Linked DNA regions of Mytilus edulis. The protein of the gene in region 2 purifies or fractionates together with the protein of the main gene of each other region. This does not show direct contact. Links are inferred from orthologs where the notes say so. Each region holds a gene or a part of one and is shown on either strand. Other genes may lie near its edges.

Region 1 (17,074 bases), on a different chromosome or scaffold from region 2:
TAGCTACTGGGTATTAAAGCTAAACATGCATATTTATTCCCTTTATAGGTATAGCGCGGCACAACCACACTGACCAGTTATTCTACTATTTCATGGATTTTCTCAGCATTTTATTTTACATACAGGATTGATAGGTTTAGCGCGGAACACCCACACTGACCTAGTTGTTCTGTACAAAAGGCTTGGCGATGACTTTACATTAAAGATAAGCAATGTTTCATACTACGGAGTTTAAGACAGCAAATGAAGGCATAGCGCGGGACAGCCATATTAACCTAATGAAGATTTAAAATTTGGTGTATAAGATTGATGTAATTAAGGTTTAGCGCGGAACAACCACACTGACCTAGTTGTACTGTCGAAAAATCATTAATGATTATTCCTTAGATTGTCCAGAGAATAAGCCATATTTCATTTCGTGAAATTTAAGATAGATGAATTAAGGTATAGCGCGGTACAACCACACTGACCTTATGGGAACTAGATATTAAGAAAGGATACTCTCTTTAGATGGAGTCTATAACATAGGTTCCTGCTTAGTTCTTCTATTGAATTAAGAAAAAGGTCATCCAGAGGGAGAATATTGTTTAGAGCCAGTTGCTGACAATCCAAGATTAGTTGGGCAATACAAGTTCTCTCGTGAAAGTTAGAATTCCAGTTGCCTAGCCCAATTTTATTGATGGTAATTCTTTTGATAACACCAAGAGATTCTCTGCGTATACCTTCCAGAACGGGACAGCGAGTGAGAAAATGGATGATATCTTCTTCTTCCAGTTGACAGATTGGGCAAGTTGCATCAAGATTCATATTTGAGAAACGAGCTTTCTGCGATTGAAATATATATGTCCCTGTGCATAACCTTGCTTTTATTGTTGCTTTCCTGAGTTCGCCAATGTTTGGTGGTAGACTGTTCCAGATAGAATGAGGTTTTCCTATGTCTAAATTAGGGATGCAGAGAAATTTTAGTGTTGTTTTGCTATTGGCGTCCCTTTGAAGATTCACTTTCCAGTAGCTGTTTATCGCTTCTTTTGCCTTGCATTTCCATGATAACTTTGATGGTAATTGATCTTTCAGATCAGTCCATGGAGGAAGATTATACATGTATAAAATATCTGCTACTCTGTTAAGGAAGGTTAATTCATGTGTTTGCAGAACATATTGCCTCTCTAGAGCCTTTTTTAGATTCTCGTTGTTAGATGAAAAGATGGAGTGGAAGAGGCTAAGAACTCTTTTGTGAATTTCTGCCTCTATGGGGAGAGCACCTACGAGTAAGTATACTGCTGAAATTGCTGTACGTGAAGGAAGAGCTTGTATTTGTCTCAAAAAATTCACATGGAAATCTCTTAGCAACTTAATGTCCCCATTATTGAGTGGCAGAACTTCCAGGCTGTAAAGTAGTCTTGGTAGAACGTATACTCTATATATCATATAGGAAGTTTTAGGGTTTAGTCCATTAGTACCATGTACTCCAACGTTCATAAGAGAGTAAGCTGTTCTTCTGGCTAAGCTTATTCTGTCCTGGATGTTTGTTTTATTTTGGTCCTTAATTGCTCTGATGATACCCAAATGTGTACCTTGTTTAGCTGATGGCATGTTTTTATCATCGAGTTTGAATTGAACTTCACTCTTCGTTGTTTTTGAGTTACTATACTTATTAATTGTAACGCTTTTGGTTGGATGGATCTTGTATCTATGTTTGTCTGAGTATCTTTTAGATGTATCTAGCATAGATTGCATTTCTTCTTCAGTTGATGACAGTAGTATAATGTCATCTGCACAGGTTGGACATCCCGTAAAGTTTGTGCCGATGTACTGGCCCATACCATTCTCTTCAAGTTCTGTAAGTAGGTCGTTAATGTACAGTTTGTACAAATGGGTGGATAGAATTCCTCCTTGGCGGACTCCTTGCCGTACAGGGAAGCTGTTACTAAATCCGTTTTTCCATTTAACTTTAGAGGTAAGGTTGTTGTACATATCAAAAATGATTTCCCAAATATCTGGATCAATATTTTGGTCAAATAACTTGTCGAGAAGAATATCATGATGAACAACATCAAATGCCTTTTGTGAATCCAGAAGTCCGAAAATTAATTTAGATTTTTGTTTTTTTGATATAAGTTCCGATTCAGAGACTAGCAGTGCTGCCATTGCTGGTGAGAGGCCACTTGTGAAGCCAAATTGTAACTCTGATTGTTTATCTAATTTCAGAAGCACTCTCTGAAGGATAACATGTTCAAAAATTTTTCCTATAATTGATGATACGGTGATGCCTCTGTAGTTATCAAGAATTTTGTCATCTTTATTTTTCTTACATACTGCATTAAGAATACCGGTTTTAAATTGGATTGGTACCTTTTTCTCAGCCAATATTTGGTTAAATAGAGAAACGAGATACGGAACAACAACCTCTTCAGCAGATTTGAAGTGTTCAGCAGATAGCCCATATTCATCGCATGCCTTTCCATTGTTCAGATTTGATATTGCCTCAGAAATTTCGGTGGGGTTGAATTTGTCTGAACTAGAATCAGATAAGCTACAGATTTCTTTTATAATTTCACAGCGGAATTGGCAGTTATTTAGAAATTTTTCATCAAAATCAGGATCGTCCTTAGGTGTTGCTAAATTTTGAAAATATTTTGCCATTGCCTCTCTTTGTTCTTCAGGATCAGTGAGTTCATGATCATCATATAGTATGGTTGTAGCAAGTTCTTTAGTGCTGTTTGTATTTCTGCGTATTAATCTGAAGAAATTTTTAGAGTTGGGTTCACTTTCCAGTTTTTTATAAAATTCTTTACATTCAGTTGCTCTTTCTTGCCGTAGTCTTTTTCTTACGTTTCTTTTTGCTTCCTTCAGTTCCAAAAAACAAGTGTCCTCACCTCTCTTTCTCCCATGAAGGTCCCATATCCTGTGTTTCTGTTTGCTAATCGTAAGCAACTTTTTTGCATGTTGTGAAACTTTTAGTCTTGGGCCGCGGATTTTCAAAGTTTTTGTCGGAATTGTTTTCCTTGCAGCTTGTTTAATTGCATCTATTAGATTATTTGTTTGGTCTTCTGTTGTTACTTTTCGATTTTTATTTTGATCTAACGATTTTTTTACTGCTTCACTGTAAATAGATGGTACACACTTTTCCCATTCTGTTTTATGCAGTACTTCGTTGCTGAAATTTGATGATTTTTTTTTGTTTTTGTTTGTCGGCTTGAAGTGTTAAAAGAGCCTTGACTGGTACATGGGCTGATAAATTTATTGCATCTTGCGAGAAAGTTTGAATAGAGTGGATAAGGTTGCTATTTGATGACAGGATGTAGTCTATTTTAGATGTAGATTTTCCATTATGATGAAAGAAAGAGTGAAGGTGATCATCATCATCTAGTTGATGTAGATTATAGTCTTTGACAAACTCTTTTAATATTCTATCATGTTGATTATGCCTTGAATTGAGTAAGGTTCCGTTTAGGTCCCCACAGATTATGAAATCCATATAGCAATACTTTTGTATAAGAAATTTGATAATATCTAAATGTTCCCTATATTTTATTACTGAGTTAGTATTTAAAGTTGGTAGGTATGAGTTGATAATACAAACTTGTCGATCCTTGGTTTGAACAGAGATAGCAATGACTCTTTCGTTGCCTTCTGGCAATTTTCTTATTAAATCGTTCCACACTCAAAAACAAAACAAAACAAAACAAGAAACAGATTCTTCTTATTATTTTATTTATTCAAATAGAGAGGCAATAAGGGAACTATAAACATTACAATTTGATGGAAATTTGAAGAAAAAACACAATTTCTACATCATTTGGTTACATTTACGACAAAATTTATGTCGATAAAAAAACATGTTTTGACCATTCAGTACTTAATAGATGCATAGTTCTTTGGGAGAAGTTTCATCAAATAATATGAATATAAATGACTTTTTTTGTGCTCATTTTTTACAGTGGGTTGTGATGATCTTCCAGTTAGGTTACCCTCATTTGGAGTGTTGTTCCCAACCTGTTAAAGGTCCATCTTTGTGCATAATTCAAAATTGGAGATTTCAACAAGCATCTAATATTCTTGATCTGGAAAATAACCCTGGTCTGCTAGCTTTATGTATATTTTTTCTACCGATTTAATATATAACTAGAATCATGCAAACAGACTTAAGGAAAAGGCATGTAAGTTCATCATACAAATATGACACTTTTTCTAGACAATCCAGATCTTGCAAAATACGTCGCTAAAAATTGTAACCTTTAAAATTGTTGTTGTGCATTAAAAACCCATATGGGAACTTTCAAAAGTTGGCGGGTATGTAACAAGTCTTACTATTTTTATGCTCCATTTATGGGCAATATGTTTTCTAGTCTGTCCGTCCGTCCTGCTTCTGGTTATAAAGTTTATGGTCGAGGTAGTTTTTGATGAAGTTGAAATCCAATCAACTTGAAACTTAGTACACATGTGTTCCTCTTGATATGATCTTCTTAATTTTACTGCCAAATTAAAGATTTTACCTAATTTTCATAGTCAACTGAACATAGAAAATGATTGTACGGATGGGAAATCCATGTACTTATGACCTTTTCTTGTTCGAAGAAAAAAAAACCATTTTAACAATAATGGAACAAAGCAGCCTGGGTAAGTGGGGCTGCTTTTATGGTAATTCAAGTTACCTTTTATTCACCTTCTTCCACTTCAGAGCTATCAGCTCTTTGATTCATTCATATTCCCACTTTATTTCTTCATGTTTAATGAAATAGTAGAAAATTACATTACACTAAAAGTTGGGAGCAATTTGGTCAAATTGAAGTCAAAAATGGAATTTCTGAATTAGCCCCTTTGTGTTCTATCACTGAGTCAAGTTTCTTGAATATAACTAAGTCAAGCAATAAATTGTGCTTACCACAGAATCACCATATATTGAAATAAAAAGTACTTTGAATAATCTCCCCTTAAACATGTATTCTTTTATGGGCAGGCAGCATTCTACAACTATGTAAAGATTCATCAAAATCTATAGGGTAGTTTAGGAGGTACTATTTATAGGAATAATATTTAGGTTGAATGTATTTTACAGTTATGTAAAAGCATGAAATTCTCATTAGTGGAAAATTTTCTCTAAATTTTTGCTATCAAGGCAAAATCATTAAAAGATTCCCTTTGTGTAAATTTGATGCTTATGGACAATAACAGGAAAAGCAATAAAAAGAAGCCCTCAAAAACAGGTTCTACATTATGAATGTAAACATTGCAAAAATAGACCACATCGGCACATGCCAGTATATTGAAATATATAGTATATTTGTTGAATTATCTCCCCATTCACATGTCCATCCAGATTTGTATACCTTAACAAAATTTTGGTATCTTGTGGAGAGTTGTCTCATTGGTAATCATACCACATCTTCTTTTTTATATTAGGAAGTGCTCTACTTCTGTGTAAAGTTTCATTAATATCAGAATAGTTTTTGAGCAAGAGTTGTACTTACAACTGAAGATTACTATATATTTAAAAATCTTGAATTATCTCCCCTTTAAAATGTACATGCCATATGACAAGGATGATATTCCTTCCTACAAGTTTTCAGGTGGCATTCTACATCAATGCAATATTTTATCAAAATCTATTCTGCGGTTTAAGAGGAATTGTGTTGACGAGAGAACATTGCCATATTTTGCAATATTACAGTAAGTTGGTTTGATTATCTCCCCTCAATATTTAGAATAAGATTTAACTCTTTAACCCCCAATCCCGCCTGTAGGCGTGATGGCGACAACCATTCTTTGATGGCCCGTATGACCCTCCATACCTTTTTTAAACTGCCCAACCTGAACTGTCATTAGAGCAGGGACTTCAACCAAGCAGTTCATGGTCCATAAACTCTTCTCGGACGTCTGATTGTGAAAATATGGCACTTTGAAAGCCCTTTAAGAGTTCAAAATCGGAAAAACGTGAAAAGTAGCCAAAATCAGGTGGGGGTGGGCATCTTTTGATGGCCACTACGTAACTGGTAGTCATTGTAGGTATAAACTATTATCGTAAATTCATGCATAGGTGGTATAGGAACACAAAGAGGTATCATATGGCCAATAGGAAACTAGTCTGTAAAATCTAGGTCACCGTTTTGTCAAAAATCCGTAAAAACAGACATTTAGGCAGACCTGACTTAAGAATAATAATTCGCCAGCAAGACACTTAAGTCCCATAAACTCCCAGTTAGCATGATTTGACTTCTGTATCTATGGGGTAAGATTTGAATGACAAAGAAACACAGTCTGGTCAATGTTCACCTCTCAAGGTCGTTTTAAAATCGGAAAATAGACGGGAAATGACAATTTTTCAGTGGGGGTGGGTTCAAACCGATTCATTTTTCTTCATTGAAAACCAATTGCCATGGATTTCGTGAGTACAAATTTATCCACAGTAACTTTGTTTTAAGAGGTACAAAATTAAATACATACTTGGCTTATACCTTTATTAACAGTCACATGCTTAAAACAAGCATTCTACAACAAAGGAAATGTTCTTTACCAAATTCTGTAACAAAGTACATATGAAGATTGTGTTCATAATTTTCCCAATTATTTCTGATGAAACTTTACATTTCACATGATGAATTGTCAAAATAATTTTGTTGCTTTATATTCAATTATCAAGTCATAGAAAATGTATGACACAAAGTTATTATCACAAGATTGTTCAAAATGGCTTCTGTCACACCTCGTCTTCATTCAGCAACATGTTGGGTATTCCTCTATTAACAGGGAATTTCCTTCCTGTCTCAGGACAAATCAGATCACCTTCTACAATTTCTACCTGCCAACAAAAATGTGGATGTAATTATTTAAAATATAAGATTTGGTATTATCTCCATAAAACTATATGTGTTCATGGCTGAAACTGTATTCCTAATGGTTTTGTTCACTTGATCTTAATGTCCTCTAAAAAATCTTTAAATTTTCTTATTCTTGTACATTTGGGAAATTTTCAGTAGAACCATAACTAATTATGCCATCATATTACCTGCTTCATCAAGTCTTTTTTAAGTATATTGTCATGGTGATGTCCCGTGCTCCTTTAGATTACAGACATTGCCAGCTTGATAATGAGAATGTTGGAAGCCACAATAGGATAAAAGTTGTAATATCAATATAAACAAAATATTATCTTAAATCAACAAGGAGTATAAACAGATTATCAGTTCTACTTTCCGAAAAGGGAGATAACAACTTAAAATTATAATTCTGGAGTAAAATTCATTATTCCAGAAATTGGCTTTACTTTTAAATGGTTGCTAACTATGATTATACATCTTAACTAGTTTGTAAATTTATCTTCTTGTTATCATATATACCTCCATAAGAATTCTGTGTGCCTTTTTTAAAAAATCTTCATCAGATTCATAACTTTCAGCAACTTCTGTTGGTAAACCTTCATTATGACCAACCTTAAATGTAAAAATAAACAAAACATAAACCTTAATGTACCTAGCCAACCTTAGTGTACCTAGCTAATGCTAGCTTATCCTTGTATTATATTTTGATTATTGTGGATAAAATCCCTGCAGACATTGATCAACTTTATTGCAAGAAGCCTATTTAAAAACTCAATACAGGAAATCTAAGCACTGAGGGGTTGATTTTCTTTCAATTTTTATTTATAAACATGATAAAGAACCTCATTTTTTTACATAAATAAGGCCGTTAGTTTTCTCGTTTGAATTGTTTTACATTGTCTTATCGGGGCCTTTTATAGCTGACTATGTGGTATGGGCTTTGCTCATTGGTGAAGGCCGTACGGTGACCTAGTATAGTTGTTAATGTCTGTGTCATTTTGGTCTTTGTGGATAGTTGTCTCGTTGGCAATCATACCACATCTTCTTTTTTATAAACTACCTATTGTACAATGTATATTTATTTTTAGCATTTATTCTCAAAATTAAAATGCTGGAGTTTAATTATCTAGTTAAACTATGCATGAACAAGTTATTAATTGATTATTCAGAGAGTAAAAAATCTTAAAATTAAAAAAGATTTCTTTCAGATATTCTTAGAATTATGAGTTGTGTCCCTTTGTATTTTCTAACTATATTGCGTATATCCTTACTGACTGAGCTGCCTGACACAAAGCTGGCCAATCCACTTTAGGGATCATTCTGGCTGTGAACTCTGGATTAAAGTCAACCTCTTTCACCTCCACTTTAGTTGCCTATAAAAAAATAATCAACAAAAATATGTGTTACCCTTATTTCAATTAAGTTGTATTTGTACAAGTATATTCAAGGTGTCTAAACTTATATATAGCTGTGGTGTGTGCTGAGTAAATCAATGGTAAATAAAACACTGTGTGAATAGAAAAATATATGCTTTACTTTTCTTTTGCCTTGGCAGGAGGATGACTCTCAAAATGAAACAAAGTTGAAATGAAGAGCTGCTTGCCAATCTGGTAAGTAATAAAAAAAGGTTTCACACATTTACACACTATGTATGAGAGGAGGAATACCGGTACTCTTTACCATCGGAGTCAAATTTATGGCTTTCATAAGAATCAAATTGGTTAAAATGTTAATGAGATCAAGGACATATACATTTTGTATATAGTATAGTTACATGTATATGTCCTATTTTTCAGAGGTTTCAAATAATTATCCATAACCTTTACTTTTTGGAGAGAAAAAAAATCAGGATTCGTCAAAATCGGTCGATTATTATATCATCATAAAGAAAATACACATTTTATTGTCATGCACCAAAAATTACTATGGCCTTTAAGAGCCGTTTTTGGCTACCATTAACGTCAAATTGGTTAAAATTTTACCGTGATTCCTCAAAATATCCTTGCCGAGATTTGTCAGACATGTCAGAGGTCTCAAAAAATTATCATTACCGTCATTTTTAGAAAAAAATTAACGTGATTCGTCAAAATCAGTTGATGTTTTATTGTCAGAGTACATTTTATCGTCATACAACAAAAATTACCGTTAACATCATTAGGCAACGATTTTTACTGTTATTCATCATAAAGGTACCCCCATTTAATACAACCCTCCTTTACATCGTTTGGTAATAATTTTATTTTTATTCATGATGAAAGTACCCCCTGTATAGCTGCCTAATTATAGTCATTATACAATTTAGGACAACAGGATAAAAGGGGTTAGCAAGTTATAAACGGGGAGGTTTAGAAGGCTCGTTTGTCAATTTCTACATTGTAAAATACAGCTATGCAACAACATTAAGTTTCACCTGAATTGTTAGTGGGTATCCCTTCTTTACACCTTTTATTATACTAGAAGTAAGCATGTTGTGAGTAAGGAGCTTCATCTTTCTCTTTCGCTTTATTTACGTCGATTACTAAACAATGCAAAATTTCGTACAAAACGAAAATAAAATTTGTTTCATTAAATCTGTTTTTAATTTCATTTATTTTTTTCAGTGCTAATTACAATGCATTGAAATTATATTTCTATTTTTCAGATCCAAAATTATTTTTATTCACATCAATTTTGTTTCTTTTTTCACTTCGTTTTATCTAGTAGATAATTAAATAATCTTTTTTTTTATTAACCAAGATGTCTGCGCCCATGAAACATGTGAGTTTATTTTTCTAAATTTTCAAATCTAAATTAAACTGCACGACATTAAACACATTTGAAATTGTAGGTAGAAGTGTTCAATTTATGTTAGAATTTTCATATTGTTGCTCAATTGATACATGCACATTATTGGCATTAGCGTACAAAATATGCATGAACTTTATTTTTTGAATACTGTATATACATGTATGTATGTATGTATGTACTGGTAAATGCCTCCGATATCCGAAGAACCCCTCGAAAGCTGCGAGCGTACAGTGGCATCCATGTACACTCCCTACTCGAATGGAGATGTGTCACTAACGTATGTTTATACGACAATTATTTTTACAAGGACAATTAATCCCCACCCAACACAAAGGGAGTGCTAGGACATCGGGAATTCTGTTATTATGGTTGAGGAAGCCGAGAACTCGAAGTATCAGAAGATTGATCTCCAGGTCAAAGTAGGGGCAACTTTGACAAACGGAGGCCCCCAAAGTACTCATTCTAGTTTAAACTTCGGTCTGGGTACCATAGATATGGCACAAAATGTGCACCTGAATATAGGTATCTTGTTTTGTTACCCCCATTGAAGCAATGGTTACATTGGTTACATTGGTTACACACATGGACCTTTAGTAAATGATATGCAATGGTGGCTTAATCTGTTGCAAACTGTACATTAATGGCTGTCCCTGGGGAATCCAGTAAAAATTTGTAACCAGCCTGTGAAAGTCTGGTTACAATGGTTACATGCATGGGAAATCAGGTTACACTGGTTACATACATGCAGAATTTGGTTACAGTGAAACATGCATAGAGAAATCAGTTACAATGGTTACACACATGGGAAAGTTGGGTTACAATGGTTACATGCATGGAGAATCAGGTTACAATGGTTACATGCATGGAGAATCAGGTTACAATGGTTACATGCATGGGAAAGACGGGTTACAATGGTAACATACATGGGAAAGTCGGGTTACAATGGTTACATGCATGGAGAATCTGGTTACAATGGTTACACACATGGGAAAGTAGGGTTACAATGGTTACATACATGGGAAAATCAGGTTACAATGGTTACATACATGGGGGAATCAGGTTACAATGGTTACATGCATGGGGAATCAGGTTACAATAGTTACATACATGGGAAAATCAGGTTACAATGGTTACATGCATGGAGAATTAGGTTACAATGGTTACATACATGCGGAATCTGGTTACAATGGTTACATGCATGAGGAATCAGGTTACAATGGTTACACGCATGGGGAATCTGGTTACAATGGTTACACGCATGGAGAATTAGGTTACAATGGTTACATGCATGGAGAATTAGGTTACAATGGTTACACGCATGGAGAATTAGGTTACAATGGTTACACACATGGGGAATCTGTTTACAATGGTTACATGCATGGGGAATCAGGTTACAATGGTTACACGCATGGGGAATCTGGTTACAATGGTTACACGCATGGAGAATTAGGTTACAATGGTTACACGCATGGAGAATTAGGTTACAATGGTTACACGCATGGAGAATTAGGTTACAATGGTTACATACATGGGGAATCTGGTTACAATGGTTACATGCATGGGGAATCAGGTTACAATGGTTACACGCATGGGGAATCTGGTTACAATGGTTACACGCATGGAGAATTAGGTTACAATGGTTACACGCATGGAGAAATAGGTTACAATGGTTACATGCATGGGGGAATCAGGTTACACTGGTTACACGCATGGAGAATTGGGTTACAATGGTTACATACATGGGGAATCAGGTTACAATGGTTACATACATGGGGAATCAGGTTACAATGGTTACATGCATGGGGAATCTGGTTACAATGGTTACATACATGGGGATTCAGGTTACAATGGTTACATACATGGGGGAATCAGGTTACACTGGTTACACGCATGGAGAATTGGGTTACAATGGTTACATACATGGGGAATCAGGTTACAATGGTTACATACATGGGGAATCTGGTTACAATGGTTACATGCATGGGGAATCTGGTTACAATGGTTACACGCATGGAGAATCAGGTTACAATGGTTACATACATGGAGAATCAGGTTACAATGGTTACATACATGGGGAATCAGGTTACAATGGTTACATACATGGGGAATCAGGTTACAATGGTTACATGCATGGGGAATCTGGTTACAATGGTTACACGCATGGAGAATCAGGTTACAATGGTTACATACATGGAGAATCAGGTTACAATGGTTACATACATGGGGAATCAGGTTACAATGGTTACACGCATGGGGAATCTGGTTACAATGGTTACACGCATGGAGAATTAGGTTACAATGGTTACACGCATGGAGAATTAGGTTACAATGGTTACACGCATGGAGAATTAGGTTACAATGGTTACACACATGGGGAATCTGGTTACAATGGTTACATGCATGGGGAATCAGGTTACAATGGTTACACGCATGGGGAATCTGGTTACAATGGTTACACGCATGGAGAATTGGGTTACAATGGTTACATACATGGGGAATCAGGTTACAATGGTTACATACATGGGGAATCAGGTTACAATGGTTACATGCATGGGGAATCTGGTTACAATGGTTACACGCATGGAGAATCAGGTTACAATGGTTACATACATGGAGAATCAGGTTACAATGGTTACATACATGGGGAATCAGGTTACAATGGTTACATACATGGGGAATCAGGTTACAATGGTTACATGCATGGGAAAATCAGGTTTCAATGATTACATACATGGGGAATCAGGTTACAATGGTTACATGCATGGGGAATCTGGTTACAATGGTTACACGCATGGAGAATTAGGTTACAATGGTTACACGCATGGAGAATTAGGTTACAATGGTTACATGCATGGGGGAATCAGGTTACAATGGTTACATACATGGGGAATCAGGTTACAATGGTTACAAGCATGGGGAATCTGGTTACAATGGTTACACGCATGGAGAATTAGGTTACAATGGTTACACGCATGGAGAATTAGGTTACAATGGTTACACGCATGGGGAATCTGGTTACAATGGTTACATACATGGGGAATCTGGTTACAATGGTTACATGCATGGAAAATCAGGTTACAATGGTTACACGCATGGAGAATTAGGTTACAATGGTTACATACATGGGGGAATCAGGTTACAATGGTTACATACATGGGAAAATCAGGTTACAATGGTTACATGCATGGAGAATCAGGTTACAATGGTTACACGCATGGAGAATTGGGTTACAATGGTTACATACATGGGGAATCTGGTTACAATGGTTACATGCATGGGGAATCAGGTTACAATGGTTACACGCATGGGGAATCTGGTTACAATGGTTACACGCATGGAGAATTAGGTTACAATGGTTACACGCATGGAGAATTAGGTTACAATGGTTACTCGCATGGAGAATTAGGTTACAATGGTTACATACATGGGGAATCTGGTTACAATGGTTACACGCATGGAGAATTAGGTTACAATGGTTACACGCATGGAGAATTAGGTTACAATGGTTACATGCATGGGGGAATCAGGTTACAATGGTTACATACATGGGGAATCAGGTTACAATGGTTACAAGCATGGGGAATCTGGTTACAATGGTTACACGCATGGAGAATTAGGTTACAATGGTTACACGCATGGAGAATTAGGTTACAATGGTTACATACATGGGGAATCTGGTTACAATGGTTACATACATGGGGAATCTGGTTACAATGGTTACATGCATGGAGAATCAGGTTACAATGGTTACACGCATGGAGAATTAGGTTACAATGGTTACATACATGGAGAATCAGGTTACAATGGTTACATACATGGAGAATCAGGTTACAATGGTTACATACATGGGAAAGTCAGGTTACAATGGTTACATACATAAAAAAATCAGGTTACAATGGTTACATGCATGGAGAATCAGGTTAAAATGGTTACATACATGGGAAAGTCGGGTTACAATGGTTACATGCATGGAGAATCAGGTTACAATGGTTACATACATGGGAAAGTCGGGTTACAATGGTTACATGCATGAAGAATCAGGTTACAATGGTTACATACATGGGAAAGTTGAGTTACAATGGTTACATGCATGCAGAATCAGGTTACAATGGTTACATACATGGGGAATCAGGTTACAATGGTTACATACATGGGAAAGTCGGGTTACAATGGTTACACGCATGGAGAATTAGGTTACAATGGTTACACGCATGGAGAATTAGGTTACAATGGTTACACGCATGGAGAATTAGGTTACAATGGTTACATACATGGGGAATCTGGTTACAATGGTTACATGCATGGGGAATCAGGTTACAATGGTTACACGCATGGGGAATCTGGTTACAATGGTTACACGCATGGAGAATTAGGTTACAATGGTTACACGCATGGAGAATTAGGTTACAATGGTTACATGCATGGGGGAATCAGGTTACACTGGTTACACGCATGGAGAATTGGGTTATAATGGTTACATACATGGGGAATCAGGTTACAATGGTTACATACATGGGGAATCAGGTTACAATGGTTACATGCATGGGGAATCTGGTTACAATGGTTACATACATGGGGATTCAGGTTACAATGGTTACATACATGGGGGAATCAGGTTACACTGGTTACACGCATGGAGAATTGGGTTACAATGGTTACATACATGGGGAATCAGGTTACAATGGTTACATACATGGGGAATCAGGTTACAATGGTTACATGCATGGGGAATCTGGTTACAATGGTTACACGCATGGAGAATCAGGTTACAATGGTTACATACATGGAGAATCAGGTTACAATGGTTACATACATGGGGAATCAGGTTACAATGGTTACATACATGGGGAATCAGGTTACAATGGTTACATGCATGGGAAAATCAGGTTACAATGGTTACATACATGGGGAATCAGGTTACAATGGTTACATGCATGGGGAATCTGGTTACAATGGTTACACGCATGGAGAATTAGGTTACAATGGTTACACGCATGGAGAATTAGGTTACAATGGTTACATGCATGGGGGAATCAGGTTACAATGGTTACATACATGGGGAATCAGGTTACAATGGTTACAAGCATGGGGAATCTGGTTACAATGGTTACACGCATGGAGAATTAGGTTACAATGGTTACACGCATGGAGAATTAGGTTACAATGGTTACACGCATGGAGAATTAGGTTACAATGGTTACATACATGGGGAATCTGGTTACAATGGTTACATACATGGGGAATCTGGTTACAATGGTTACATGCATGGAGAATCAGGTTACAATGGTTACACGCATGGAGAATTAGGTTACAATGGTTACATACATGGGGGAATCAGGTTACAATGGTTACATACATGGGAAAATCAGGTTACAATGGTTACATGCATGGAGAATCAGGTTACAATGGTTACACGCATGGAGAATTGGGTTACAATGGTTACATACATGGGGAATCTGGTTACAATGGTTACATGCATGGAGAATCAGGTTACAATGGTTACACGCATGGAGAATTAGGTTACAATGGTTACATACATGGGGGAATCAGGTTACAATGGTTACATACATGGGAAAATCAGGTTACAATGGTTACATGCATGGAGAATTAGGTTACAATGGTTACATACATGGGGAATCAGGTTACAATGGTTACATACATGGGGAATCAGGTTACAATGGTTACATGCATGGGGGAATCAGGTTACAATGGTTACATACATGGAGAATCAGGTTACAATGGTTACATACATGGGAAATCAGGTTACAATGGTTACACGCATGGGGAATCAGGTTACAATGGTTACATGCATGGGAAATCAGGTTACAATGGTGACATGCATGGAGAATCAGGTTACAATGGTTACATACATGGAGAATCAGGTTACAATGGTTACATACATGGAGAATCAGGTTACAATGGTTACATTCATGGGAAAGTCAGGTTACAATGGTTACATACATAAAAAAATCAGGTTACAATGGTTACATGCATGGAGAATCAGGTTAAAATGGTTACATACATGGGAAAGTCGGGTTACAATGGTTACATGCATGGAGAATCAGGTTACAATGGTTACATACATGGGAAAGTCGGGTTACAATGGTTACATGCATGGAGAATCAGGTTACAATGGTTACATACATGGGAAAGTTGGGTTACAATGGTTACATGCATGCAGAATCAGGTTACAATGGTTACATGCATGGAGAATCAGGTTACAATGGTTACATACATGGGAAAGTCGGGTTACAATGGTTACATGCATGGAGAATCAGGTTACAATGGTTACATGCATGGAGAATCAGGTTACAATGGTTACATACATGGGGAAGTCAGGTTACAATGGTTACATACATAAAAAGATCAGGTTACAATGGTTACATGCATGGAGAATCAGGTTACAATGGTTACATACATGGGAAAGTCGGGTTACAATGGTTACATACATGGAGAATCAGGTTACAATGGTTACATACATGGGAAAGTCAGATTACAATGGTTACATACATGAAAAAATCAGGTTACAATGGTTACATGCATGGAGAATCAGGTTACAATGGTTACATACATGGGAAAGTCGGGTTACAATGGTTACATGCATGGGAAAGTCAGGTTACAATGGTTACATGCATCATACTCTAAATGTGCTTTTCAAGGTCATAACTTAAAAGTCTGTTATTGTCCCGACATACTTTATACTTTATGATAAATCTGTTTGAAAATGTCTTATGCACGTACAATCTGAACTGACTTGGTGTCTTCTGTGAGAAAAATAAAAAAAAATTCTGCGACAGACCTCAGAGACTAAGTATAACACAGTAGTCTCAGGACCAACTTAGTCAAGTTGTTAAACTCCCTTAGTAGAAGGACTTTGTTAATGTTCATGTCAAGACCAATTACGGAATCACATTTAGCCTGGGAACATTCTTTTGAATAATTCAGTGTTTTATCTGAATTCATAAATGTTAATTGATTATGATGGTGTTTTTTCTGTGTTGACAATGATCATCCAAAAAAAATTAACAATATGCTGGTTGTTAATCTTGAACAGTAAAAAAACCTGAAACAACATCTTCTACTCATTATTTTAGTGATAGTCTAACTTTTTTATATAATGCTATTCAATTTTTAAACTTGCCTTAAAATTAATGAATTAATAAACATCTTCCCCAATGTAACATTATATTAATTTGTTTATTACTTATAATTTAAACTCTGTTTATAACTTACAGTCCAAACTCTGTTTATTACATATTATTTAAACTCTGGGTATAACTTACAATCTTAACCTTGTTTATTACTTATAATTCAAACTCAGATTAATACCTAATTTATAAATGTTTACATCTTACATATTGTCTATTCTAGAGACATATAATATATGCATTATATGTTTCTGTCATTTCATATTTCATATGCATGGCATATATATCTATAATACTATTCATTCATTCATTCATATCTTT
Region 2 (17,787 bases):
GCCCCTAATTCCTAAACTGTTGGGACCTAAACTCCCAAAATCAATACCAACCTTTCATTTGTAGTCATTAACATTGTGTTTAAATTTCATTGATTTCTATTTACTTAAACTAAAGTTATTGTGTGAAAACCAAGAATAATGCTTATTTGGGCCCTTTTTTGGCCCCTTATTCCTAAACTGTTGAAACCAAAACTCCCAAAATCAATCCCAACCGTTCTTTTGTGGTCATAAACCTTGTGTCAAAATTTCATAGATTTCTGTTAACTTAAACTAAAGTTATAGTGCAAAAACCAAGAAAATGCTTATTTGGGCCCTTTTTGGCCCCTAATTCCTAAAATGTTGGGACCAAAACTCCCAAAATAAATACCAACCTTCCTTTTGTGGTCATAAACCTTGTGTTAAAATTTCATAGATTTCCATTCACTTTTACTAAAGTTAGAGTGCGAAAACTAAAAGTATTCGGACGACGACGACGACGCCAACGTGATAGCAATATACGACGAAAATTTTTTCAAATTTTGCGGTCGTATAAAAACTACCTTGACCAAAAACCTTAACCTTAAGCGGAACAGATTGACGGACGAACTCACAGACCAGAAAACATGATGTCCCTCTACTATCGTATGTGGGGCATAAAAATGTCTTTTTAATTGCTGTCAGAATAAAGGCTGTTGCAAATGCAAATACTAACCAAAGTTTGACAAACAAGTTTGGTTATATATTTATTGACATACATAAGTTTAGCATTTAATTCTGAAAATGAATGAAATTATCTTTTTTTCTTTATTTTATCCAGTAAGTAAATAGTCATCGTGTTGGCAGTTGGACCTTACAGGTTTGTTGTTGTTGTGTGTTTACAAACTCATAATCTACCTGGTAGATCAGCAAAGGAGAGGTTGTGAGCATAAACACTGGTTTAACCAAAGCACATTATGTGCATGTACCATGTCAGGCTATCTTGACCATGTGTTTTTCTTAGTTGTTTGTCTATCAATTTGCTCTACATATTTAGAGTCAGTCTTTTGATAAGATATTATACTCTATTCAATGGATTTAGAGAAAATATAAGCAATTTGTACTGCATGTATCTGTATTTGTTTTATTTCAGTTTGACTATATAATCAATAAATTACCAAGCATGGAGGGACTAATATCCACACCTATCCAACAGTGTCCATTATCTGTCAAACATTCACCACTTAGTCCAGATCCACACCTATAAAACACAAACATTCATTGATTTAGTGAAATATCATATATCTAACATTATAAATTAACTTTTTTCTCTAAGACTTGTGTTCAGCACTTTGAAAAAATCTGCAGAGATTTCCACAATCGATAGAAGATGTGTACATTATCGATATTATTGACAGTGCTCATGTTTTCTTATATTAACTTTAAACAGTGACTTTAATTCTTTGTTTTTGATTTTCTGATATATATATTTCATGTACACCAAATCTCTATAATAGAGGAAATAAAGTTATATATATACAAATTATTATTGTAATTATACAACTTTGTTCTCATTTTTGCATAATACTAAATAACATATTGTCATTTCTACTATTTAATAACTCCAAGTTCCAGATTATCATTCTCCATGCATTAACAATTATACTATAATATAATAAAATATGAAAAATATATAGCTATAAATAATGGTAGTTATATCTTTAAAAAAGTATCAAAATATATACTTATCAAAAGAAACCATTTCAAATGAATTATTTGTCTGAAAGTGCAAGTTTTAAAGAAATAAATAAAACAATTACCCAACATCTAATATAAAACATGGCTGATCTTCAGGTAATCCCAGTAGTTCAATAGCTCTTTCTGACAACTGATTCTGTATTTCAATCATTCGAGTACTATCAAATATAAAATACATAATGATGTTACACTTAAAACTTTTTATTCTATCGACTGACCTTTTTCCACCAAGTCCACAAATAACAATGAATCAACAACATATTGTTTATATGCGTTTAAGCAGGTTTGACTGTTAAACATGTTAAATATTCAGAAGTGGTTTAATAAAAGTTTGACTATTACCATATTTTATTAAAAGATGAGGTTCAACTTTCTTTTTTTTTTTTTTTTAAAGATTTGAAAGTTACAGTATTCAGAAGTGGTTTAAGTAAGGTTTGACTAACGATTCGCCGAAAGCCCTGAATTATCGCCTATACAAGACATCACACAATTTCAAACACTACCTTAACGTACTTGATGATAAAGATGTAATAACAATGTCGCAGTTTAGGACAAGGAACCATAAACTGCCGATTGAAAATGGTAGTTGGCAAAACATTCCCCGAGAACAGAGAAAGTGTCCGTTGTGCAGAGTTGCTATAGGTGACGAATTCCACTATGTAATGGAATGCAGCAGTCTCTTGACAGATAGAACACTACTTATTGACAAGAAATACCTAACGAACTTTAATGTTTTAAAATTTAATGCTATTATGAACCAAAAACAGAAATCTAAACTTCGAAAATTGTGCCAATTTATTAGAATTATAAATTACAAACTGGATTCTCTCTGATGTTAACCTGTCGGCTATACTGATCATACCGTTGTAGAAAGCTCATATTTAATGCTTCCTCAACAAATGTATATATGCAATGTAATGTAAACTAATGTGTTTTTCTGTATACCTTTGTCCAACTTAGGTGATACCAGAATAAAATGATATATATACTAATACATTGTAACTCTTTCTCTATCGGAACAGAAATAGTTTGTGTAAGGTTTGACTGATATACATTGTAACTCTTTCTCTATCGGTACAGAAATAATTTGTGTAAGATTTGACTGATATCCATTTTGTACATCTTTACTCTATGTTTTTCGGGGCAAATTAGTACATGTACATGAGGTACAATGTTACCCTGTACTGAGAAATCTGATAAGAAAAAATAATTAAGTATGTTTTTATCTTAATTTGCACACTATATCTTACTTTGATGTGTATTTTCTGGCTTCATCTTCATTGTAAAACTGAAATACAACAAAAATGTAATAAAATATATGCAAAACTCATGAGATAACAAGAATGTGTCCCAAGTTCACGGATGCCGCATCAGCACTATCATTTTCTATGTTCAGTGGACCATGAAAATGGGATAAAATCTCTAATTTGGCATTAAAATTAGAAAAATTATATCATTGGGAACATGTTTATTTAGTTTCAATTTGATTGTACTTTAACTTCATCAAAAACTACCTCGACCAAAAACTTTAACCAAAACTTTAACCTGAAGCGGGACAGACGAATGGACGAACAAATCAACGGACGAACAAACCAGAAAACATAATGCCCATAATTTGGGCATAAAAAAAAGTCAACAAATTAATATAAGATATGTAGGGGCTATTTCAAATGTTAATTTGTCAACAACATTTAAGATGATGGCAATGTTTGGTTTTGCACATTATATAATTTTGAAACTCAATTCTTAATTCACATTATATTTGTGACATTTACTGATTTAAGTTTAAATATCAGAGTTTTAAATCAGAAATTGATCTGCACAGAAGATTTGATTTTGTTAAATTGTTATAATAATCAATGTAATCAATATGTAATCACTTGCATGAAATTTAACTTAATTAATTCAAATTATTGGGCATCATAATTCAGACAATAAAAGACTATGTATATGTATTTGTATTGTATTTGATGGTCCCTTGGATGTCAGTTTTAACAAAAAAAATTTGGTTAATAGATTTTTACCATTTCTTTTACAGATTTTCTAGCTGTAAACTTAGTCTAAATACTTTCTTTTAGATAAGTTAAAAATCTAAATGATCAAAGAAAAGATTTGGCAATGTATATTTGTGAAAACTGAGATGTTCGAGTAAACTGAATCCACATTATGTTTCTTTCTATATTAACAAAAATCATGTAAACATGGTCATGATGGTGTAACCGGAGGGGTTTTTACGTTGTGTATTTTCTGTGTCAACTTTAACATATTTTACCCCAGACCGTGTAAAGAGTAGGTATAGGAATCCTGAGTCTCTGATCCTTCATATTTGGCTTTGCAAAACTTAACGCTAGCAAGTTTTCATAGTTTATTAGCAAACTACATAATTCAACAAATATCAACAATTTGTAAAGATAAAAACATGAAACATGAATATAAAAAGCAAGTTAAAATTCACATAAAAGTGACATAGCTTAATCTGTCATTTTAACCTTTGTCTAGATGCATTATAATTCTAGACACAATAGCGACATTGTGTCTAGATGCTGTGAAATGCATTACACCTTTCGTGTAGACAACACCTTTCGTGTACACAGTGAGCAAGGTCTGTGCAAGACCAGTTAGTCAGCAAAGTCTGTGCTAGACCTTACGTGTAGACAGTGACTGAGGTCTGTGCAAGACCAGTTAGGCAGTGAGGTGTGCAACACCAGTAAGCTCTTACTAAAAAGCTAAAATAAGCGGTTGTTTTATCAACCAAATGGCTTATGAAAACAAGCCCAGTACAATTATTTAAATCATCAGTTATTTAACAAATACTATTCAAATATAAACACTCTATAACTAAATTATAAGTTGCAAATTCAACAAAATATGAGAATAAATTCAATGAATTATAGCACCATAATGTAACTAAATATATAAACATGTTAAACAACAATTTTTATCAATAATTCATATTAACAATAGTAATTAAATGTTAATTTTACAACAGTCCATTTTAAAGGGACATAATACTGTTCTAAAACATAGGGTCGCCGTTACATTCCTCCCTCCTTAAAAAAAACTGAAGCCATGAAGTTTAAAAACAAGGCTGGTATGAATTTCCATTATATACAAACAGTATATGCATCCATATATATATTGCACACGGAACACATTCCAATTCCTTTATCAATTGAACACTAGAAATGCTGGCCATATCATCTCCAATATCAGTTATAACACTCGTATATATTATCTCATATCATCACCATCACTGAAAACAAGTGCTGAAAAATTTAATAACAAAATTAAACAAATAGTTAAACTGAATCGTCACCCAGTAAACTGTTGTGTCAAATGCTATGGAAATAATGTAACTGTCTAAAATGTACTAGATATTCTGTATGTGTTTAAGAGATATTTACTATAGAATAAAACAATCATGCAACAACCAGCACTTTATTATAAAAGGCCAAAAGCGATTACGTGAATCAGAGGCTCACATTAGCGATTAAAACACGTCAATCGGGCAGAAACAATTATGTTGGCATCCAAGCTTATATCCACATAAACATGATAATTTTGAAGCAAGTTAGCATAAAATAAAATGATGTAGGCGACAGCCCTTTTCATGGGTCTAAAGGATACAACAATGAGGTACTTTACAATGCTGTTCCTGTCGATTCATACACATGCATCTTGAGCTATGTGTAATTACTGAATGTGTTAAGTAAGACAAATATGATCAAAATATACCATTCTATCTAAACAATCTAAGTTAAGCTTTCTTTAAACCATTTGAATTTTTTTCATCTATGCAATTAATTGCTTATACATTCTATAAATATCAATACATACTTTATCTCTGTGCCAATCTAAAATCAGTCTTTGTAAAGTTAAACTGAAATGATTACTCATCATTATTTCATACATATACATGGCAATATCTTTTAAAATCAAAATTAACATCAAGCAAGCATAATGACATTTATTTTACAATATTAAAATTTGACAATTTACATAACATATTTAACTGTATCAATAGCATAACCGCCTAATGAGAAGATCAGATGTTTCACCTCAGGATCCCACCGCTGCCACCAAAATGTAACCGGAGGGGTTTTTACGTTGTGTATTTTCTGTGTCAACTTTAACATATTTTACCCCAGACCGTGTAAAGAGTAGGTATAGGAATCCTGAGTCTCTGATCCTTCATATTTGGCTTTGCAAAACTTAACGCTAGCAAGTTTTCATAGTTTATTAGCAAACTACATAATTCAACAAATATCAACAATTTGTAAAGATAAAAACATGAAACATGAATATAAAAAGCAAGTTAAAATTCACATAAAAGTGACATAGCTTAATCTGTCATTTTAACCTTTGTCTAGATGCATTATAATTCTAGACACAATAGCGACATTGTGTCTAGATGCTGTGAAATGCATTACACCTTTCGTGTAGACAACACCTTTCGTGTACACAGTGAGCAAGGTCTGTGCAAGACCAGTTAGTCAGCAAAGTCTGTGCTAGACCTTACGTGTAGACAGTGACTGAGGTCTGTGCAAGACCAGTTAGGCAGTGAGGTGTGCAACACCAGTAAGCTCTTACTAAAAAGCTAAAATAAGCGGTTGTTTTATCAACCAAATGGCTTATGAAAACAAGCCCAGTACAATTATTTAAATCATCAGTTATTTAACAAATACTATTCAAATATAAACACTCTATAACTAAATTATAAGTTGCAAATTCAACAAAATATGAGAATAAATTCAATGAATTATAGCACCATAATGTAACTAAATATATAAACATGTTAAACAACAATTTTTATCAATAATTCATATTAACAATAGTAATTAAATGTTAATTTTACAACAGTCCATTTTAAAGGGACATAATACTGTTCTAAAACATAGGGTCGCCGTTACATTGGTAAGACAATCTCTCTCCCTAATCTTACATGTTGGACTTATAATTTGTCAATGAGATATATATTGTTCTCAAAACAGGGATATTTTTTTATTTATTTTTCATAAATGGGTACCAATTTTTGTGGTTTAAAGGTTGATATTTTTTTTTTATTTAAAGAGTCAAGAGATCTAAAACTGCAATGAGATGTCATTTCAAATATAAAATATTATTTGGATTTCTTATAATTGCTGACACAAGAATACAAGATCCATAAACACGATTTCACTGTTTTTGAAAAGCAACTTTTGAGATGTTACTGACTATTTCTGGAGGAGCTTGTCTTTCTGGTCTTCCACCATGTGCCATTGTTGCTGTTTGACACTTCAATTAAAACTCAGAGTCTAGGTACCGGCCTCAAAAATTTATTTCTTCAAATCCCATTAAAATGAAATATATTCTGCAATGAATAGAGTAGCATTAGAACAATTATTTAACTCTTGGATATTGAGAATGCTCTGGCAATTTCATTAATCAATTACAATACATTAGGTTTGAAATAGTTGAGATCAGACTTTTAGAGGAATTATTTTATATTAACCGAAGATAATATTTGATCTCTATCTTTTGAACTCTTGACGCGTACGGGATTACGCAACGGTGTTTGTTGACAGGTTGTACAGCACCAATTTTTGCAAAATATGCATTGAATATGAACTAGAAATACTTGAATACAATTCTATATATGAAACAATTACCAGATAAACCTCCATTTATTGATGGATTGAGTTAAATGGGACAAATTGAATGAAATTAAAACCAAAACTTAGCTCTGAAGGTCATGAATGCTAAATATTCTGTAGGCAGGGGAATTTCCTCAGGTTTGCAAGGGACTAGCATTTTATACAGTCCTTTCTGTATTGGCCAGACACGATGGTCATCAAATCATAGAAAACAAAAATCACCTTCATATTATTATGATATCCTTGGAATAACCCCAAAAGCTAACCAGCAGCAAATTAAGCAAGCTTACTATACCATGTCGAAGAAATATCATCCAGATGTCAGCCCATCTCCCGAGGCCCACCTCAAGTTTCAAGAAATTTCTCAGGCATATGAGGTATTAGGAAATTCGTCAACTAGAAGAATGTATGATCGAGGTGTCAATAGACCCGAATATGCTAGAAGAAAAGAAGAACACCACTCTGACCACAAAGGCGGTCAATTTTATCAACAACAAGGCTTTGCTAAAAGGGGACAAAGGCCAATGACTGGGAGAACATCGATTTATGACTTTGATGAATATTATAGAATGCATTATTCTGATAACTTTAAAAGGAAGCAACGAGACATTGAATTTGAAAATCTTAAGCAAAAAATTCATGAAGAAAACGAGAAGATGCACAATGATTTTAAACCTATATTTTCTTTCTCTGTGGTTTTATGTATATTTTGCTCAATAATTTATTCCTTAAATACATAAAATATTAGGTAATAAGATGAATTCAATAACTTTATTATGTTTATATACAGTTGTAGTACATTGTATGTGTAAACATTGATGTGTACATGAACATGTATAATTAAGTAAATAAGATAAACATTGAAAATGGTCAAGTTTCCCCTAGTTTTATTGTCCACGCCTGCAACTTTTAAAATTATTTATATGATCAGGATTTATACAAAAATTGAATTTTCATGATATTATATTTATACAAGAAATATATATGCAGAAAAAGTCTTCATCTTAATAAAAACTCAAAATAATATACATTGTTTAAATTTGAAACTTATCAACTTGAGGGAGAAAAAATCTAATTCTGTCAGAATGTCAGCGCTGAGATGTTATTAGCCTGATTTTTCTTTAACTCATAGAATGTTTCATACATTTGTTGTCTCCCTTTAATTTTAAAACAAAAATATGTCTATTAGTGTTCAGCTGAAACATTTGACCTGAATCAAATGTAGCATTTATTGACTTCTTTAAGTCTACATGTACAATGTATATATGTTATTGATATAAACTGATAAACTAATTTTAAAAGGGTGCAGGCATACCTTTACACAACTATCATGACTATGTTTATACATGTACTGTTACAATCTATCAGACATATATCAGATTTACTTTTATGATATGAATTCTGGCAAAAATATCTAAAAAAAAAGCTATGAAGAGTTATAACTGTCAGATATACAATGGTAAATATTCATTCATTTAAAAAAGATGTGGTATGATTGCCAATGAGACAACAGTCACAACACTGACAAAATGATTTCACTGAGTGAAAGTTTTCGAATTATAATGTAGGAGTTACAGGAACAACCTTAGCTTGTGTGAAATGTTTTTTTTAAACATGATAATTGTATATTGTTATACAAGTAGAATTGGTAATTTATTTGGTTGTAAAATGTATTTTTTAATAAATTTTCTTATAATAATGTATTTCATGCTCCTAAACAGGCTAAAAAAAATCAGAAAATGTAATAAATATTTGTAGGTTCGATTTTTTATATATCTGCAGACAATAGCTATATTTGTTCTCTCCAGAATGAAAATTTAAGTGAATTATCAAAATGTTTATGATATTAAGGTATAGTTTAAGTACATGTATGAACCATTTTGTATAGGTATATATAATGGCCAAGTTTCTTTTCAACAAAACAAGAATTTGTATCACTATACAAATCATTGAACAAAATAATCAACTACATGTGTATGTAAAAAACATTCTTTTTAGTTCCTGTTTCTTAATTATCTTTAATTGAATATTTTTGAAATTTGATTTAATATTTTTACATTTTTGAAAAAAAAACAAAAACCCTTTTATAGAATTTAAGGGTTTCAGATTTGAGCGTATATGGTTACCACTTTTTGGAGCATGATGTTGGTTTTATTAAGTTCTATTTTATACATATTGTACAGGTACATGTATAACATTGGTACCTTTAGTGAAAAAATGAAATGGTACACTGTATAACTATTTTTATTTGTTTATTTTATTATAATATGTAAAACAATTTTATGTCAGTAACGTTTTGCTTGCTGAAAATTGTGGTGTCAGATCAGGAAATGTTTGTTAATTGTTATATTGTACAGATCATACTATTTATAAAAGTAAATCGGCATTGATTGTTATACAAAAAAGAATGATATTCAATTAAAAAACAATGAATTCAGACTTATTAATTTAAGTTAATTTTTAGCTCACCTGGCCCAAAGGGCCAAGTGAGCTTTTCTCATCACTTGGCGTCCGTCGTCGTCGTCGTCCGTCGTTAGCTTTTACAAAAATCTTCTCCTCTGAAACTACTGGGCCAAATTTAACCAAACTTGGCCACAATCATCATTGGGGTATCTAGTTTAAAAAATGTGTCCGGTGACCCAGTCAACCAACCAAGATGGCCACCAGGGCTAAAAATAGAACATAGGGGTAAAATGTGGTTTTTGGCTTTTAACTCAAAAACCAAAGCATTTACAGCAAATCTGACATTGGGTTAAATCCTACATCAGGTCAAGATCTATCTGCCCTGAAATTTTCAGATGAATCGGACAACCCGTTGTTGGGTTGCTGCCCCTGAATTGGTAATTTTATGGAAATTTTACTGTTTTTCCCATCACTTTGCGTCCGTCGTCCGTCGTTGTCCGTCGTCGTTAACTTCTACAAAAATCTTCTCCTCTGAAACTACTGGGCCAAATTAAACCAAACTTGGCCACAATCATCATTGGGGTATCTAGTTTAAAAAATGTGTCCGGTGACCCGGCCAACCAACCAAGATGGCCGCCATGGCTAAAAATAGAACATAGGGGTAAAATGCAGTTTTTGGCTTATAACTCCAAAACCAAAGCATTTAGAGCAAATCTGACATGGGGTAAAATTGTTAATCAGGTAAAGATCTATCTGCCCTGAAATTTTCAGATGAATCGGACAACCCGTTGTTGGGTTGCTGCCCCTAAATTGGTAATTTTAAGGAAATTTTACTGTTTTTATACGACCGCAAAAATTAAAATTTTTTGGTCGTATATTGCTATCACGTTGGCGTCGTCGTCCTGCGTCGTCGTCGTCGTCGTCCGAATACTTTTAGTTTTCGCACTCTAACTTTAGTAAAAGTGAATAGAAATCAATGAAATTTTAACACAAGGTTTATGACCACAAAAGGAAGGTTGGGATTGATTTTGGGAGTTTTGGTCCCAACATTTTAGGAATTAGGGGCCAAAAAGGGCCCAAATAAGCATTTTCTTGGTTTTTGCACTATAACTTTAGTTTAAGTGAATAGAAATCTATGAAATTTTGACACAAGGTTTATGACCACAAAAGGAAGGTTGGGATTGATTTTGGGTGTTTTGGTTCCAACAGTTTAGGAATTAAGGGCCAAAAAAAGGGCCCAAATAAGCATTATTCTTGGTTTTCGCACAATAACTTTAGTATAAGTAAATAGAAATCAATGAAATCTTAACACAAGGTTTATGACCACAAAAGGAAGGTTGGGATTGATTTTTGGAGTTGAGGTCACAACAGTTTATGAATTAGGGGCCAAAAAGGGGCCCAAATAAGCATTATTTTTGGTTTTTGCACCATAACTTTAGTATAAGTAAATAGAAATCTATGAAATTTAAACACAAGGTTTATGACCATAAAAGGAAGGTTGGGTTTGATTTTGGGAGTTTTGGTCCTAACAGTTTAGGAATAAGGGGTCCAAAGGGTCCAAAATTGAACTTTGTGTGATTTCATCAAAAATTGAATAATTGGGGTTCTTTGATATGCCGAATCTAACTATGTATGTAGATTTTTAATTTTTGGTCCCGTTTTCAAATTGGTCTACATTAAGGTCCAAAGGGTCCAAAATTAAACTTAGTTTGATTTTAACAAAAATTGAATCCTTGGGGTTCTTTGATATGCTGAATTTAAAAATGTACTTAGATTTTTAATTATTGGCCTAGTTTTCAAGTTGGTCCAAATGGGGGTCCAAAATTAAACTTTGTTTGATTTCATCAAAAATTGAATAAATGGGTTCTTTGATATGCCAAATCTAACTGTGTATGTAGATTCTTAATTTTTGGTCCAGTTTTCAAATTGGTCTACATTAAGGTCCAAAGGGTTCAAAATTAAACTAAGTTTGATTTTAACAAAAATTAAATTCTTGGGCTTATTTGATATGCTTTATCTAAATATGTACTTTGATTTTTGTCGAGCCTTCGACTTTAGTCGAAAAAGCGAGACTAAGCGATCCTACATTCCGTCGGCGTCGGCGTCGGCGGCGGCGGCGGCGGCGGCGTCCACAAATATTCACTCTGTGGTTAAAGTTTTTGAAATTTTAATAACTTTCTTAAACTATACTGAATTTCTACCAAACTTGGACAGAAGCTTGTTTATGATCATAAGAAAGTATCTAGAAGTAAATTTTGTAAAAATAAAATTCCATTTTTTCCGTATTTTACTTATAAATGGACTTTGTTTTTCTGCGAGGAAACATTACATTCACTCTGTGGTTAAAGTTTTAAAAATTTTAATAACTTTCATAAACTATCCTTGATTTGTACCAAACTTGGACAGAAGCTTGTTTATGATCATAAGATAGTATCAAGAAAAAATATTTCGTAAAAATAAATTTCCACTTTTCCGTATTTTACTTATAAATGGACTTAGTTTTTTTTGCCAGAAACAAAACATTCACTCTGTGGTTTAAGTTTTTAAAATTTTTATAATGTTCTTAAACTATCCTGGATTTCTACCAAACTTAGACAGAAGCTTGTTTCTGATCATAAGATATTATTCAGAAGTAAATTTTGTAAAAAAATAATTCACTTTTTCCGTATTTTACTTATCAATGGACTTAGTTTTTCTTCCAGTTAACATTACATACAGTCTGCAGTTAAAGTTTATACAACATTTATTAGATTCATAAACTATCCTGGATTTTTTACCAAACTTAGAAGCTTCTTTCAATCAAAAGACAGTATCGAGAGGGAAATTTTTATTGATGTTTTTCCTCATTTTGTTGAGTCTGCAATTAACAGCAAAAGTAGGCGAGACACTGGGTTCCGCGGAACCCTTACGAATTTTTAATTATAGGCCCAGTTTTCAAGTTGGTCCAAATCAGGATTCCATATCAAGTATTGTGCAATAGCAAGAAATTTTCAATTGCACAGTATTGCACAATAGCAAGAAATATCTAATTGCACAATATTGTGCAATAGCAATTAATTTTCAATTGGAGTTATCTTTCTTTGTATAGAATAGTAGTTGATAATATATGTTGGAAATTTGCCAGAGATGACTATGATGTCATTTTCTATTTTTATTTGCCAATAACTTTATGTAAATAACTTCATTGGAAATTTGCCAATATAAAATGTTGGTGATGAAGTTTTTTTTATTGTTTTATACAATAAACAATGTATATTCACTTTTACTACCAACCAATCTTTACCATTCAGTGATAACAAGCACTTTATTTTACATTTTAATATTTTATGGTGTATTTAAAAGAGTAGTTATTGTTGCAAACTCCATTAGAAATTTGAATTGATATCAGTTTTGGAAAAAGGGAATCGGGGATGTGAAAAAAAAGGGGGGGGGGGGTTTAAATTTTTCTCATTTCAGATTTCATAAATAAAAAGAAAATTTCTTCAAATATTTTTTTGAGAGGATTAATATTCAACAGCATAGTGAATTGCTCAAAGGCAAAAAAAAACTTTTAAGTTCATTAGACCACATTCATTCTGTGTCAGAAACCTATGCTGTGTCAACTATTTAATTTTAGATTTAAAAAGTTTGAAGAAGAAATCTTTAATTGATTTGTAAAATCTTGACATTTGTTTTGTGTAAAAAAAACCCATGTAATGTCAAAAATTTGATCACAATCCAAATTCAGAGCTGTATCACGCTTGAATGTTTTGTCCATACTTGCCCCAACTGTTCAGGGTTCGACCTCTGCAGTCGTATAAAGCTGCGCCCTGCGGAGCACCTGGTTGGTTATTATCTTGAATATTATTATAGATAGGGATAAACTGTAAACAGCAATAATGTTCAGCAAAGTAAGATTTACAAATAAGTCAACATGACCGAAATGGTCAGTTGACCCCGTTAGGAGTTATTGCCCTTTATAGTAAATTTTTAACCATTTTTCGTAAATCTTAGTAATCTTTTACAAAAATCTTCTCTGAAACTACAGGGCCAAATTAATCCAAACTTAGCCACAATCATCATTGGGGTATCTAGTTTAAAAAATGTGTGGCTTGACCCTGCCAACCAACCAAGATGGCCGCCATGGCTAAAAATAGAACAGAGGGGGTAAAATGTAGATTTGGCTTATAACTCTAAAACCAAAGCATTTAGAGCAAATCTGACAAAGGGTTAAATAATCTATTAGGTCAAGACTATCTGCTCTGAAATTTTCATACAAATCGGACAGCCTGTTGTTGGGTTGCTGCCCCTGAATTAGTAATTTTAAGGAAATTTTGCAGTTTTTGCTTATTATCTTGAATATTATTATAGATACAGATAAACTGTAAACAGTGATAATGTTCAGCAAAGTAAGATTTACAAATAAGTCAAACATGACCAAAATGGTCAGTTGACCCCTTAAGGAGTTATTGCCCTTTATAGTCAATTTACAAAATATTTTCCTCTGTTACTAATGGGCCAAGTACATTGTAGATAGAGATAATTGTAAGTAGCAAGAACGTTCAGTTAAGTAAGAACTTCAAACACATCACCATCTGACACCAAAACACAATTTTGTCATGAATCCATCTGTGTCCTTTGTTTAATATGGACAGACACCAAAGTGAGCGACACAGGCTCTTTAGAGCCTCTAGTTTTGTTTGGCCATTTTTGGGTACCCATTTTGTATTGGCACATCCTCTTAGATTGTTTTGCCTTTTTCTTCACCATATAACGCTATTGTGCACTTCCTATGTTTTTTTTTATCCATACTATTTTTAGCTCACCTGGCCAAAAAGGCCAAGTGAGCTTTTCTCATCACTTGGCGTCCAGCGTCTGTCATCGTTAACTTTTGGGCCACTACTGGGCCAAATTTAACCAAACTTGGCCACAATCATCATTGGGGTATCTAGTTTAAAAAATGTGTCCGGTCAATTTTTAACCATTTTTCGTAAATCTTAGTAATCCTTTACAAAAATCTTCTCCTCTGAAACTACTGGGCCAAATTAATCCAAACTTGGCCACAATCATCTTTGGGGTATCTTGTTTAAAAAACAAGTGTCCAGTGACCCGGCAATCCAACCAAGATGGCCGCCACGGCTAAAAATAGAACATAGGGGTAAAATGCAGTTTTTGGCTTATAACTCAAAAAACAAAGCATTAAGAGCAAATCTCACATGTAGTAAAATTGTTTATCAGGTCAAGATCTATCTGCCCTGAAATTTTCAGATGAATCAGACAACCCGTTGTTGGGTTGCTGCACCTGAATTGGTAATTTTAAGGAAATTTTACTGTTTTTGGTTATTATCTTGAATATTATTATAGATAGGGATAAACTGTAAACAGCAATAATGTTCAGCAAAGTAAGATTTACAAATAAGTCAACATGACCGAAATGGTCAGTTGACCCCGTTAGGAGTTATTGCCCTTTATAGTAAATTTTTAACCATTTTTCGTAAATCTTAGTAATCTTTTACAAAAATCTTCTCCTCTGAAACTACAGGGCCAAATTAATCCAAACTTAGCCACAATCATCATTGGGGTATCTAGTTTAAAAAATGTGTGGCTTGACCCTGCCAACCAACCAAGATGGCCGCCATGGCTAAAAATAGAACAGAGGGGGTAAAATGTAGATTTGGCTTATAACTCTAAAACCAAAGCATTTAGAGCAAATCTGACAAAGGGTTAAATAATCTATTAGGTCAAGACTATCTGCTCTGAAATTTTCATACAAATCGGACAGCCTGTTGTTGGGTTGCTGCCCCTGAATTAGTAATTTTAAGGAAATTTTGCAGTTTTTGCTTATTATCTTGAATATTATTATAGATACAGATAAACTGTAAACAGTGATAATGTTCAGCAAAGTAAGATTTACAAATAAGTCAAACATGACCAAAATGGTCAGTTGACCCCTTAAGGAGTTATTGCCCTTTATAGTCAATTTACAAAATATTTTCCTCTGTTACTAATGGGCCAAGTACATTGTAGATAGAGATAATTGTAAGTAGCAAGAACGTTCAGTTAAGTAAGAACTTCAAACACATCACCATCTGACACCAAAACACAATTTTGTCATGAATCCATCTGTGTCCTTTGTTTAATATGGACAGACACCAAAGTGAGCGACACAGGCTCTTTAGAGCCTCTAGTTTTGTTTGGCCATTTTTGGGTACCCATTTTGTATTGGCACATCCTCTTAGATTGTTTTGCCTTTTTCTTCACCATATAACGCTATTGTGCACTTCCTATGTTTTTTTTTATCCATACTATTTTTAGCTCACCTGGCCAAAAAGGCCAAGTGAGCTTTTCTCATCACTTGGCGTCCAGCGTCTGTCATCGTTAACTTTTGGGCCACTACTGGGCCAAATTTAACCAAACTTGGCCACAATCATCATTGGGGTATCTAGTTTAAAAAATGTGTCCGGTCAATTTTTAACCATTTTTCGTAAATCTTAGTAATCCTTTACAAAAATCTTCTCCTCTGAAACTACTGGGCCAAATTAATCCAAACTTGGCCACAATCATCTTTGGGGTATCTTGTTTAAAAAACAAGTGTCCAGTGACCCGGCAATCCAACCAAGATGGCCGCCACGGCTAAAAATAGAACATAGGGGTAAAATGCAGTTTTTGGCTTATAACTCAAAAAACAAAGCATTAAGAGCAAATCTCACATGTAGTAAAATTGTTTATCAGGTCAAGATCTATCTGCCCTGAAATTTTCAGATGAATCAGACAACCCGTTGTTGGGTTGCTGCACCTGAATTGGTAATTTTAAGGAAATTTTACTGTTTTTGGTTATTATCTTGAATATTATTATAGATAGAGATAAACTGTAAACAGCAATAATGTTCAGCAAAGTAAGATTTACAAATAAGTCAACATGACCGAATTGGTCAATTGACCCCCTAAGGAGTTATTGTCCTTTATAGTCAATTTTTAACAATTTTCATGAAATTTGTAAATGTTTACTAACATTTTCCACTGAAACTACTGGGCCAAGTTCATTATAGATAGAGATAATTGTAAGCAGCAAGAATGTTCAGTACAAACACCATTTTGTCATGAATCCATCTTCGTCCTTTGTTTAATATTCACATAGACCAAGGTGAGCGACACAGGCTCTTTAGAGCCTCTAGTTGGTTATTATCTTGAATATTATTATAGATAGAGATAAACTGTAAACAGCAAAAATGTTCAGCAAAGTAAGATTTACAAATAAGTCTCATGACCGAAATGGTCAGTTGACCCTTTTAGGAGTTATTGCCCTTTATAGTCAATTTTGAACCATTTTTCGTAAATCTTAGTAATCTTTTACAAAAATCTTCTCCCCTGAAACTACTGGGCCAAATTAATCCAAACTTGTCCACAATCATCATTGGGATATCTAGTTTAAAAAATGTGTCCGATGACCTGGCCAACCAACCAAGATGGCCGCCATGGCTAAAAATAGAACATAGGAGTAAAATGCAGTTTTTGGCTTATAACTCAAAAACCAAAGCATTTAGAGCAAATCTAACGGAGGTTAAATCGTATATCAGGTCAAAATCTATCTGCCCTGAAATTTTCAGATGAATCGGACAACCCGTTGTTGGGTTGCTGCCCCTGAATTGGTAATTTTATGGAAATTTTACTGTTTTTGGTTATTATCTTGAATATTATTATAGATAGAGATAAACTGTAAACAGCAAAAATGTTCAGCAAAGTAAGATTTACAAATAAGTCTCATGACCGAAATGGTCAGTTGACCCCTTTAGGAGTTATTGCTTTTTATAGTCAATTTTAACCATTTTCCTTAAATCTTAGTAATCTTTTACAAAAATCTTCTCTGAAACTACTGGGCCAAATTAATCCAGACTTGTCCACAATCATCATTGGGGTATTTTGTTTGAAAAATGCGTCGATGACCCGGCCATTTAACCAAGATGGCCGCCACAGCTAAAAATAGAACGTAGGGGTAAAATGCAGTTTTTGGCTTATAACTCCAAAACCAAAGCATTTAGAACAAATCTGAAGAAGGGTA

What was found.
Region 1: the proteins of 18S rRNA (guanine-N(7))-methyltransferase-like (region 2) and multifunctional methyltransferase subunit TRM112-like protein purify together in Homo sapiens (affinity purification with mass spectrometry; 5 studies listed by BioGRID and IntAct, counting the BioPlex papers as one, with this or other methods). This does not show direct contact. The link is inferred for Mytilus edulis from reciprocal best matches to the Homo sapiens genes BUD23 and TRMT112.

The regions. Positions count from the first base shown.
Region 1 is NC_092345.1:1,176,112-1,193,185, forward strand, and holds multifunctional methyltransferase subunit TRM112-like protein, read right to left. Parts: upstream 9,364-17,074; 5' UTR 9,307-9,363; coding exon 9,229-9,306; intron 8,192-9,228; coding exon 8,090-8,191; intron 7,431-8,089; coding exon 7,338-7,430; intron 6,800-7,337; coding exon 6,698-6,799; 3' UTR 6,445-6,697; downstream 1-6,444. UniProt on the Homo sapiens protein: Acts as an activator of both rRNA/tRNA and protein methyltransferases. Together with methyltransferase BUD23, methylates the N(7) position of a guanine in 18S rRNA.
Region 2 is NC_092349.1:64,044,574-64,062,360, reverse strand, and holds the start of 18S rRNA (guanine-N(7))-methyltransferase-like, read right to left. Parts: upstream 7,046-17,787; 5' UTR 6,973-7,045; coding exon 6,928-6,972; intron 6,630-6,927; exon of another isoform or gene 5,551-6,629; intron 4,980-5,550; exon of another isoform or gene 4,067-4,979; intron 3,002-4,066; coding exon 2,964-3,001; intron 1,872-2,963; coding exon 1,776-1,871; intron 1,217-1,775; coding exon 1,134-1,216; intron 1-1,133. Other genes in the region: dnaJ homolog subfamily B member 9-like, read left to right, coding at 7,445-8,086.